Linked DNA regions of Arabidopsis thaliana. The protein of the gene in region 1 interacts with the protein of each later gene in a pairwise test. Each region holds a gene or a part of one and is shown on either strand. Other genes may lie near its edges.

Region 1 (5,911 bases):
AAAATTCTAAGCATTAATTTAGATTTCTGCTTAATGATTTCATCTTTTTGTTTCATTGCTTTTTAGATCTCTACGTTTAAATAAGCTATCTTCATGTTCTGTTTTCTTTGTTTAGCTGAAGGACTTGACTGTGGTCGAACTGAAGACATATCTGACTGCCAACAATCTCCTCGTCAGCGGGAAGAAAGAAGTTCTGATCAATCGGATTCTGACTCACATTGGTAAATAACTTTAACCGTGAGTTATATAACTCCTGCTAGAGAAGCTACGTTTTAGTTTTATTGAAAAGCTTGTCTGTTTTTGATGGGAACTGGACCCATTTATCTTCCGGGTCATTGTTCATCGTTTTGCCTCAGCTACAAAGGGTTTTAGATTTAACTGTAATGGTCTCTTTTGGGTAATCACTAATTTGTGATCTTGGCTCTAACTTTATGGTGGAGTTTATATTTGACGAATTCCATAAGGTTCTTTATAATTCTCCATAGGTTATAAAAAAAAGTCTTATGAATCTTGAACAACAAGATAGAAACAAGAGATAACAATTTGTGGTATGAGCGTAGTTTTATTGATCATAGGTTCTTTTTTTATGGAAAAATTATAAAGGAACTTTTGGACCTTTGTAATCCATTTCACTTCTCACATATGTTCTCATATACACAAGATAACATATCCAAACAATAACTAAATTAAACACAACATGATTCCTTAGAATGCATACACAAGCGAGCTTTTCTCGTTCTTCGTAGTCTTTTGTTGAATTTCTCTATTTGGTTGGGATCAAATTTGAAGGATCCCTGAGAACGTATTTAGGCAATTCATACTTGGAACCTGCAAAAGTTAAACATCTCAACTACTTTGCACAAAATCAACCAAAACCAAACCTTGTGGAAGAATAAGACTAATACCTTTCTCGTCGTAACAAATGGTGAGGTCAGTGTTCTGAACAATCACACCGGCACTCTCAAGTATCGTTTGCGCAAGCGATAAATCATCCTCTTCTGCTGCAGCTCGTAACGCATCCCATATCTCTGTTTACATATGTATATACATTGAAATACAAACACTTTTGACTCTTGACATAATTATTTATATGTGATGATCACCTTTCTTGCCTCCATAGTGAGGAGCTGTGTCCCAGAACTCCTCTCGCATCTGTGTGAGCTCATCTCTTGATATCGGTTGAGGATGTTTCCATGTTTTTGGTCTTCGAATCTTCTCCTTTTTCCCTACAAACACACAATCAAATCACAGTCCACAGAGATACTCTCAGCAGTAAGAATAATCATGAAGAAGAAAACATTAGATCAGATGTGTGTGGGTCATTTCTTGACTCTCATTTGATGAGAGAGAGAGTACCCTCTGCTATGGTTCTCGAGCTAGAACAACCCATTATTTGTCTTCCTTAGTAGACGATAACAACAAACGAACATTACAAAATTTACAAAGCAGAGTAAACAGAGCAGATAGAGAGATAGAGAGAGATTAAGTTTACAAGATTTGTAAATACCTATTAACTAGAAAGAGAGATATTTTTTGTATGATGGTGAGAGACAAAGGTTTGCGTTATCTCGTGAATCACAAGGTTGCTCTTTTTTTTCTTCTTTTTTGCTCTCCATAATGTTTGGTCTGTTCAAAGTGAGATACTCGTGAGCCACAAAGATGTGGTAGTTTGGAATTTCATCATCTAACTATTTATGGTTAAAGATAAAAACATACGTAACGATACAATTATTTTTATAGATTTATTCATACTAAATATATCTAACATATGTAACAGCCGATATCTCAAATCCAAATCGTGGAGTGTTTGCTAGAAAAGCTTCTTATATATGAATCCGAAATAGTTATTTTTCATTATATACCACAAATCATATATACGAAAAGAGGCTAACTCTCTCCAACAACTTGACACATCAGCACATAAGAGCTTGCCACCTAAACTTCATAAAATAAGTAATACATAATTAGTAATTAATTCAACATAAAGAATATAATTAATCAGAACTTGAACCATCACTTTTTCTACATTTTTTAATTCAATATATCCTCTTTAATTTCGAGATCCACTTAAGTGGCTAAAAATCCAAACATGCTACATATATTACTTGCCTAAAAATTAGACGATTATTATGAAAGAAACTAAATGAATATGCAGATTAAATATATCTAAGCTTTTCGAGATTTATGCTAAGAAAACAAATAATTTGAAAGATGTTTGAGGAGCCATCCTTATAACTAAAACGTAAGATATAAGATTATAACAAGAACTTAACTAAACTTTTCAAGAACATCAAGTTGAATAAGCTTAGATTGAATATGCAGAGACATGGTTAATAAAGACATGGTATATTTATAGTGTAAGAAATAAATTTTCTAAAATTTCACCGTCTCACAATTTACATTTATAACCAAAAACAAAGATATATAAATTAAAAAAAAACTGAGAATTTAAAACAACAATAAAAAAGAACTCAAGCACATTCGTTTTTCAAATGAACTAATATAGTTGGACTTTTTAAAAACAATTACAAATCATATTTATGTTTCAAAACCGATGCATTCAACTTTACTTTATATGAACAAACATTATATAAAACAATTTGTAAATAATAATACATACACCCGCACTACGTGCGGGTACTCATCTAATTGTTTTAATTGGAAACTCACGCTGTTTCAAGAGCGACTACTTGCAACAAGCCAGTTTTGTATTTTTGGGCTTTTAGCTTGAAAATTTTGGGCTTATAAGCCTGTAAGGCCCGTAACTATCCGCTTCTATCAACCGTGCCGTTTCATACGGAGTGCAAAATCATAAGTTTTAGTTTTACTTTATTTTGTGGTAATGTCAAATAAAGATGGCCAATGTCTTAGTTAACACTTAACAACTCTACCAGGTAAAGTGAAGTGAACTTCGATACATCATTGTCAAAGAATATGAAGCGAAAATAATGGATTTTGTTCTATAACAACGACGCACCAATGGTATAAAAAATTGGTACAATTCATTTGCTGATAATGAAATTAACGTGGTTCACAAGTTTCAAACGAATCTATAATAGTGCAAATTTACCAAGATTTATGTAGACTAATGTATGATAATGACCCATTGAACGATTTAAACTTTAGCTTTGGGTTTTGGAAGCAAAACATTTTATAAATGACTTTTTCAACAGTTTTCATGATTTTGAGATTGTAACCACATTCATCTGACAGCAGAATTCATGCTTTGATATAACATTAGCGTGTCATGTAATATTTATCTAAACCTACTAGTTTTGGGTTATATAACTCGACAATATGATTTTAAAATTTTCTTGAGTTAAATTCAAAGTAAGGATTTCCATTTTCAACACTTTTATGTGACATGACGTTACATATGGAAAGTCATAGGAATATCCCAATTTTTTTTTTAATTATTATTAGAAGTAAAATTTTAATAGAAATATTTGTGTCTAGGATTTTCACTACAGTCTATTAGATAATATTCATATCTTTGATTATATCAATCATTAGTCTATTTATCTATAGTCATATATTCACATTTACTTTGATTGTAATACCCTAGATATCTCTCTTTGTATATAAGCTCATCTCTGTATTATAATAAAATCATCACTTCTATAATCATGGAATCAGAGCAATAAAGCTCCTAGACCTAAATTTTTCTTCTTACTCGTCTTTTCTCTCGCAGCCGTCCAATGGCAAACACAAACACCATTCGTGATAATGATCATTATGAATATATTCTAATACAGTCTATATATATTATATTGTATACATTTAACTATATATAAACAAAAACAAAAAAAAACTACTTGAAGTTAGTAATTATTATCACTTGACAAACAAAAAAACACTACTTAAAGATATACACATGCATTGAATGTGTATAACAAGCGGCTCCATCTTACTACTAGTTGGTTAGTTAAACTTATTAAGAAAATACAAAAAAGGAAAGTGAGGAAAGAGCTTCTTGGCAAAAAGTAAGTCCTTAAATAGTATAATCCCTGAGATGAGCAATAATGGTGTTCCTTATATTATTGCATGTCTATTTTCTCTTTTCTTTTTTCTTCTTCTTCTTCTTCTCTTTAGTCGAAACCCTGAATCTATTCAATTTCACTAAACAAAAATGTCAACTGGAGAGAGGAAGACGTCTCTTACGTAAACAGACATAATTATTGTCAAATCATCAACTTTTTCTACGAAGATGTCAAAACGAAGCTTTTGAATTATTGTTTACTTTCTAAGTTACAGGCTTTATATGTAGCTTTCTTCATGAAGAATATGATTTACGTACGCAACCTTTTTACATTGTATCGATTATGGTGGGCACCAATCGTACGTTCATGTTTATATTTGTGTAAAAATCGTATGATGTAATTTGTCCCTTTGAGTCTATAGTATTCTTTGGACACCGTGTGAACTACAATTGGGCAACTATTAATAGCCTTATATTATTTATACCCACAAATGAATTTTTTTACCAAATTAAGAATGTAGTTCTTCTAAATACACACTATCGAAAATAAAACGAGGATTTAATCAAATTTTCTGATACTTTGAGAATATAATTTTTTTAATTATAAAAGAAAGTGTACACATGAACTCAATCTCTTTAATGCAAGAAAAAAAATTGATATGACAAAAATAGTTTTGATAACTTCGGTTTTTCTAAGCGATAATTGACAAATAAGTCATAAGAATATCATTTAAACTAAGTTTTCTCTAAATACATAATATTTTCAAACGGACAAAAGCTGTATGTCGTTACATATAGAGATCTGCAATATTCGACAACATATATAATTGAATAAATGATAAATCAAAGTGTAGAATAGTGGTTTTTTATTACTCAATAACGGATCGGATCACACACAAACATATCTATATCAATTATATATGAAGACACACATACACAAACATTCTTGAGAAGACTTACGAACGGTATATGATATCATTGTGAATAGAATTCGACAACATGTCAACATATATGAAGTGAAAAGACGACAATCAATTAATGTGCCTAATGACCCACGCCGGGGCTAGGGACTGATTCTAGTCGACGGTATATCTCCGGCGAGTTTTCTGGTACCATACGCTGGTCGGTATCATCCGGAGGAGAAGTGTGACCCTTGTCGCTTGGACCCGAAGGTGGTACATTGCCCTTGGGTAGGGCACTAAGAAACAAACCCTTGCTTGTGCCGTAAGGGACTAGAACTTTTCTAGCTTGAGAAGATTGCAAGACAAAACCAACAATCAAAATGAGTAAGCAAATCATCGAAATGGAGATCCTTGGACGAGCCATTACCTGATTGATTTTGTTGTATAATTTTAGATATTAATTAATTAGTTATGAAGCAAGAAATTTTTAGTTTATTTTTTGGGATTTGGTTGTGTTTCTGTGAGTGAATACTTTGATAGAGTGGATATATATAGAGAGAACAGGAGATGGATGAGGTCAATGGAAATTTATTTGGGTTAGGTACAAATGAACTAAATTGGTGAGTTCGTATATATAAAGTGTTTATGTTTGTAATTGATGGATCAATGCATATATGTAGGTGTTTTTTTCTTTCTTTTTTGACAAAGTGTATGTTATAATTCCAAGCAGCAGACAAAAACACTTTCACGTTACATGCTTTTCATTGCTTATCTGAATATGATAATTTAACAATAATATCAAAATAGCAGAATTGAGTTTTATACAACATAAATGTCATATAAAATATATATGTATATCTTCTTTTTGGTTTTTGTTTTGTCTTTACTTTGATCACCACTATAAAACGGTATATAAAATAATTAGTTGTTTGTATTCAGTTAAATATTTTGTTTGTTAGGTGGTAAAAAAAAAAAAAAAATTGTTCAATGTCTTGCTAAGTTGCTGACTGAGATGTTCCATAAGAGACGA
Region 2 (6,147 bases), on another chromosome or scaffold:
AGACTTTCTTTAAAAGAAGATATTTGATAGGCGTATATGGACAAGAATTTGAAAATTTTGATTTGATAAGCAATATTCAAAAAAGCAAAAGTCCCTATCAAAAACTCGATTAGTTGATGTATTTAATTCAAAAAATACTTCGTGATGGGTGAATCACTTTAGTATTTACGTGAATTAAATTATTACATGTGAATTTAAACGGGAAAAAAAAACAAGTATTACATGTGAAATTTGTTTCGAAGTGTACTTTGTTGTTACTTATGAGTCCTGTCCCGTCAATTGCTATAGTAGAGCTTATGAACGATGGATCACTTTTTACTTATAGAAGCTTTGAAGTTTGGTGCATAGTCGTGATACCTCTTGACGCGTATGAAAGAGATGTAGGGCTAGTACGAGAACATGAGCAGCTCCCGCAATGATGAACAAACCGCGCAACTCACGGAAGGTGAATCGCTTAGATGCCTCATCATCGTCGTTGGTAGATGCAACTTCCTCGGTGTTGGAATGTACATTTAGTGAATCCAGTTTTTGAAACCATTTTTTCTCCATGTCTTTCAACATTCCCAATGATCTTAGCTTCGCGATTTCTCGCGATACTTTAGGAACCAAATCCGAACCTTTCTGGAACATCTGAGAGGTAAACATAAATTAGTACGTAACAAGAATAAGTAACCAAATAATGGAGAGAAAATGAGAGGTTTGAGGAGAAGGGTACATACAAAGCCAAAGCCATTGGTATTAGTCACTCTATCTGTCATTACGAAATCATTCGGATAATTTCCGATAAGGATACTGAGATAAGGTATTTCATTGATGACATGATTAAGAGTTCCATCTCGCAAAAGTTGTGCATAGGCCTCAACTGCATTAATGGATCCGAGCTTCGCAGTCATTGACGTCGTAGATCCCCCGAAAACCATCTGATGATTTAATTGCATGCGAGAAATGGTCTTGGTTGATGTCAAGTTTGCGCTGTAACTTGAAGTCAATATTAACACCACAAAAACCCAAACTATGACTAAGAATCTTGATGACATTTTCTGTAGCTTCTCTCCTGCCAAGAATGTGCGTAATTTGTTATAGATCAAAATATACAAAAGGATGGGATTTCATGAAGAGTAGTACTCTAACATAAACACTTACTGTGAGCAAATACAATGGTTGAGAAACCAAACCAGAGCATCATACTAAGTTGTTGTCCCCAAGAGCCCTGAAATTCCGGATTAACGGACCGTTCAACTAACCAAACAACAATCCCAGTTAAGACAAAGAAAGCTCCACTTGCTAGCCACAAGGATTTTTCGAAAGGATCAAAGAAGGTCCACATCCCTTGGCTTTTCTTTTTCACTGTCAAGATTCCAATACCAATGTCAGTGTACGGCAAAGTAAAATCAACATACAAAGATCTGTTGGAAGTGATGGTGATATCACCAACTGCTGCATCATACTTGTCTCTCTGTCAAAATTGCAAACACACATTATTAGAAACATACATAATCATTTTTGACTAGAAAAATGTTTTTAAACTGTTTGCATTTTCACACCTGAGTAGAAAGTAGATAAGCAAGATTGTCATTGTTTCCACGGTAAGGTATGAATTCAAGCTCGTAGTTAAAAGGAGCAATGCAAGTCTTGAAAACCTCTACGCAGAATCCAGAGACAGTATTAACACCTGTTTCAGGATCAGGACGCACCGACACTAGATGCGGGACCTTGTTTCCTGCGGTAACTAAGACCCTAAGCACCTTCTTTTCACCTTTCTCTGCCAAAACACGGTGTCTTGGGATCTTACGAGACCTGCCAGGCCAAACAATCTGTCTTCTTTGGCTAAAACTACCACCACTCCATAATCCTATCCTTCTCTGTTTTTCTCTTCCAATATTCACGATTTCAAATGTCTCTGAGATAAATTTGTTGTCAGAGATTTGGATGTCACCACTCAAACCCTTGAATCTACTATGTCTAATTGTATCCAGAAGATCAGCTGATACATTCGAAGATGCTTCAACTTTACCACTTACACTGAACTTCTCTACTGCATTTGCTAGAATACAAGCGATATCGTGTGCGCGTAAACCGATGATTACACTAGAATGCTCTGTTTCTGTATCATCTCCCATACGTTTCCTCAATCTTGAAGTAAAATTCTTAACTTCTTCAGATACAGGGATGTAAGATTTGAAACCAATGACCCCTTGCATCGACCTAGTTATTGCAAAATGTTCCAAGTAGTTCATGGTTCTTGCAGTGAGGATCCAAGCGAACGCTTCTTCCATCAAACCTAACTTCTCTACACATTGGAAGAGACGAGAAACAAGAATCTCGGACATATGCACCACAAAAACCGATGCTCTTGAGACCTTAAGCTTCCTTAGCTGATTCATCATATGATTTTCTCCTGATGATGAGACTGCAAAAGAAGCAGAACGAGCGATATAGATTCCTTTATCTTGAAAATTCTCAACCAATATTTGCAAACTCTCACTCCAATCATCAGCATCCTCGTATATAACCACAACCGATTTACAACTGAAATCTTGTATGAGACTTGTAATTCCCTTAGCCTCTGATGTAGTATCATGCGTCCATTGAATAAAGTTATCGTATTTCTTCAAAGATAACGTGTTTGGCAAGAAAGTAGATATGACCGGAACTTTAGCTTTTTCGCTAATCGTCGCCAAAAGCTTTGCCTCTTGTAATGATTGTGCACCAACAATGGCTTCCGCTTTTGCATTTTTGAGAAGATCAGTAGCTGTTTCATACAAACACAAATTGCAGTGCAAAACGGTTAGTGCAAGACATGAGAATGTTAACCGGAGTAAACCGGCGGGACTAGGTCAATTCTTTTTTATTTGATTCAGTCTGCTTTAAATGAAGAGGAGTTGTGGATCCCACCAAAAATTGCAATAATTGAATAAGGGAGATGAAAACTCACCGGCGGCAAGAGCAATGATCGGGTCTCCTTGGGAGTCTCTGACCAAAACAGAGACTCTGGTTCGGTATCCATTGTTGATGCCATAGAAATCTGAAAGCGCTAAGTTAAAAGAAGTTTCCAGAATCTTGCCTTGTATAGAACTCAAGTCAACCACCAATCCAACCCTAACCTCTTCGAAAACATCATCGTCGCTTGGAGCAGCTACTACTCCGGAAAAGAGAAGAGCAAGAATGGAAATAGAAAACAGAATCTCCATATAATTTCTTGTATAGCTCTGTAACGTTCGCTTTGGGTTATAAACAATGGTGTTTCCATATCTACTTGTGCCATGGAATAATAATTATACTGGACCATTTTTTTTTTCCGGTCAAATTGCATTTTGATTTTCTGAAGTGTATGGTCACAATCATTTTAAATCAAACTAACGCGATATCGCACACAATCAAAGTCAATGTGTACTGTTCATCGACACAAATTGACTAGGAAACACATTTATTTCCTTCTAAAGTATAGTTGAGCCTTAAAAAAAGTTTTATTTAATTTATGTTTTCAACAGTTACTTTTAAAACTGATTTCAAAATCCAGGTTAAATACAATGTAAAATACATATGCAGGGGAAACCATAATACTAGATATATTAGCTTATTTCGCAAAGTCAATTCGTAGAAGTAAATATTCGAGTTCAAGTGATAGGACAACCAAGTGATATATAATAAAATCTACCACAACCCGAGAAGCTAAAAAAAATCACAAGCTGGTTAGTTCAACTCGTCGAGGAAAAATCAAATCAAGAGATTAAAACTCTAGTCTAGGATGATCCCACAGTCATCTCCTTCTACAATCATTAAATTATTACTCTATCGAAACCACACGCTCGCGAATACTTATAGAGTACATGTGGAATGAGATAACGTTACCAGGGAGATTAGGAGACTTGGCTTATAGAATACTTATGGAATACATCTCCCTCGCGACTTACCTGCGCAATGAAAACTTTTTCTCGTCTTGTTCAATAGTTGTACTTCGCACAAAGGATAATACGATCATAAAAAGACTCATAATACGATCTTCGATATACCCGCGCAACGATGGATCACATAAACGGTCGCATGGTTGGAAAATTTAGGGCTCATCTCTGATTGTTTTATTTTCTTCACAAAGGGGCAAAAATATATATATACACTGTATATATATATGGGGTTTTTTTTATGGTCAAATGTTATTGCCCTTCGAATAAGAGACCTTTGATTCGTAAGAAGAGATTATTATTTTATAAGAGAAGGTTATGACCGAAAGGTTTCTGAAGAAAATGAAAAATTACTTTTAAAAGGAATTTTATCTTTAAAAGGAAACAAAAGGAATGGTTAAGTTTTACATGATTGGACGCAAAAATGGAAAATTCTTTTGATTACTTCAAAAAAGGAAACCCTCATTTCTTATTAATAATACATCAAATAAAAAACTAACATGATTTTTCGCAAAATATCCAATTTGTGAAGACCCTAACGCTCGAATTTGTCATCACTTGGCTCAGTCTTTCAACTTTTGAAAACTGAAACTCCTTTTTTCTCAATACTGTTAGATAATAGAGATATACTCGAGACGATTGAGCTTCGTCAAATGGATACATGCAGTATTAAAATCAGCAGTTCAAATACAAAGAAATTTAAATCATCAAGTATGAATATGTATGATCATGCTTCACGATCGAACAGACGAACACCACCAGAAACTCGACGTCCCACACGAACAGAAGATGAACCACCACAGTCTTTTCCCAATCGTAAGTGAGCCATATTGTCGCATAAGTTATCACGTAACTCGAGCATCGCTTGGTACCTTTGCTGCAGCTCCTTCGCGCTCAAACCTTCCGAAGGAAAGTTCCACCACATTTTATCTAACTTCTTTTCATTTCTCGATTCCTTCAACAGTTTCAACTTCTCTAGATCCATCGCAAGCTCCTCTTCGAGCGCCTCCATTTTTTTTACGAGGTCGTGGAGCCTTCGTTTCTTATAAGCTTCGACGAGGGGTCTGGTATCGTCTCTCTCTAATGGTTCTTGTCTCGAAGGGTTCTTTAACCGGTCAGCCACTTTCTTCATAGACGGATGTGCGAATGTATAGGGCTTCTTGGGTTGAGAGAAAATCAAGAAAGCCACTTCAACGTCACACATTGCTACGAGCTCGTTCATTTTCTTAAAAATTCCGGTTTTACGTTTTGAGAACGTAATCATCCTATCTCCATAGTTCTCCACCTTCTTCATCTCGATCTTTTGCTTCCCCTTTGTTTTTCTTCCCTTTGCTTGCTTCGTAGATGACATGTTTGCAGAAACCAGAACTAGTGTTTGATTTCTTGTAGGTTTGTTATTTTGTATGTAATGATAAAACCATGCGCAAAACACAATCTATTTATAGACCAAAGAAAGAGATAGGATTACAAAGTTTGGAGACATTAAATTTAAATCTTAGTTATGAAGAAAGTGTATTGACTAATTTACAAAAAAAAAAAAAAAATGTTGACTAAACACATTTGGCAACCACTTTAACATCTTCATTAATCAGTCAAGAAACTATTATGGTAACCCAATTGGTGTAATAGCTGGTGTAAAGGCTAATTGACCATTCAAGGAGGAATGTTCTTTTAGGTAATTACGAGTTTGTGTATCCCTTACAGGGAACATACCTCAGATCCAAAATTCTTTTGTTACAAAAAAAATAGGAAAAATTTGATATAAAAGATATCTACTACAAAATTTGTCCATAATATTCTTATTTTTTTGTAGATTAGTCATATAATTTTTTTAAAAAACTTCAAAATCCAAATTTATCTTATTTTTCTATCAAATTTCATTTAAAAAATAAAACTTTTTTGTATTAGTATAAGTCCGTTCATTTGATTAGTCATAACTTTTGCTATAATATTTTGTTTGACTTGAAATCACTATCGTTGGAAAGCTAATTGAAACTAATAGAATTGCTATAATATTCCGTTTGACTTGAAATTACTACCGTTGGAAAGCTAGTTAAAGCTAATAGAATTGAAGTCAATATATAAACATAAAAAAAAAATTTAAAAATTTAATTTTAGGTTAAAATAACTTTAATCTATTTTCTCTAAAATAACAATAACTTAAGGGATGCAATTTATACTTATAAATTTCCAAATTTATATAACATGAAACACATGAAAAATATTTCCTCTCATAGGCTACAGC

Evidence for each region. The genes of interacting proteins can lie anywhere in the genome.
Region 2: the proteins of AT1G16960 (region 1) and GLR1.1 interact in a protein complementation assay, tested with the Arabidopsis thaliana proteins (one large-scale study listed by BioGRID).

Annotation. Positions count from the first base shown.
Region 1 is NC_003070.9:5,795,477-5,801,387, reverse strand, and holds AT1G16960 (Ubiquitin domain-containing protein), read right to left. Parts: upstream 1,648-5,911; 5' UTR 1,391-1,647; coding exon 1,357-1,390; intron 1,227-1,356; coding exon 1,104-1,226; intron 1,029-1,103; coding exon 906-1,028; intron 829-905; coding exon 764-828; 3' UTR 501-763; downstream 1-500. Other genes in the region: KU70 (ATP-dependent DNA helicase 2 subunit Ku70-like protein), read left to right, coding at 116-229; AT1G16950 (uncharacterized protein), read right to left, coding at 5,024-5,305.
Region 2 is NC_003074.8:1,074,405-1,080,551, reverse strand, and holds GLR1.1 (glutamate receptor 1.1), read right to left. Parts: upstream 3,317-6,147; 5' UTR 3,192-3,316; coding exon 2,936-3,191; intron 2,753-2,935; coding exon 1,545-2,752; intron 1,457-1,544; coding exon 1,144-1,456; intron 1,055-1,143; coding exon 720-1,054; coding exon of another isoform or gene 631-719; coding exon 316-630; 3' UTR 48-315; downstream 1-47. Other genes in the region: AGL57 (AGAMOUS-like 57), read right to left, coding at 4,630-5,253. UniProt on the Arabidopsis thaliana protein: Glutamate-gated receptor that probably acts as a non-selective cation channel. Can transport sodium, potassium, and calcium ions.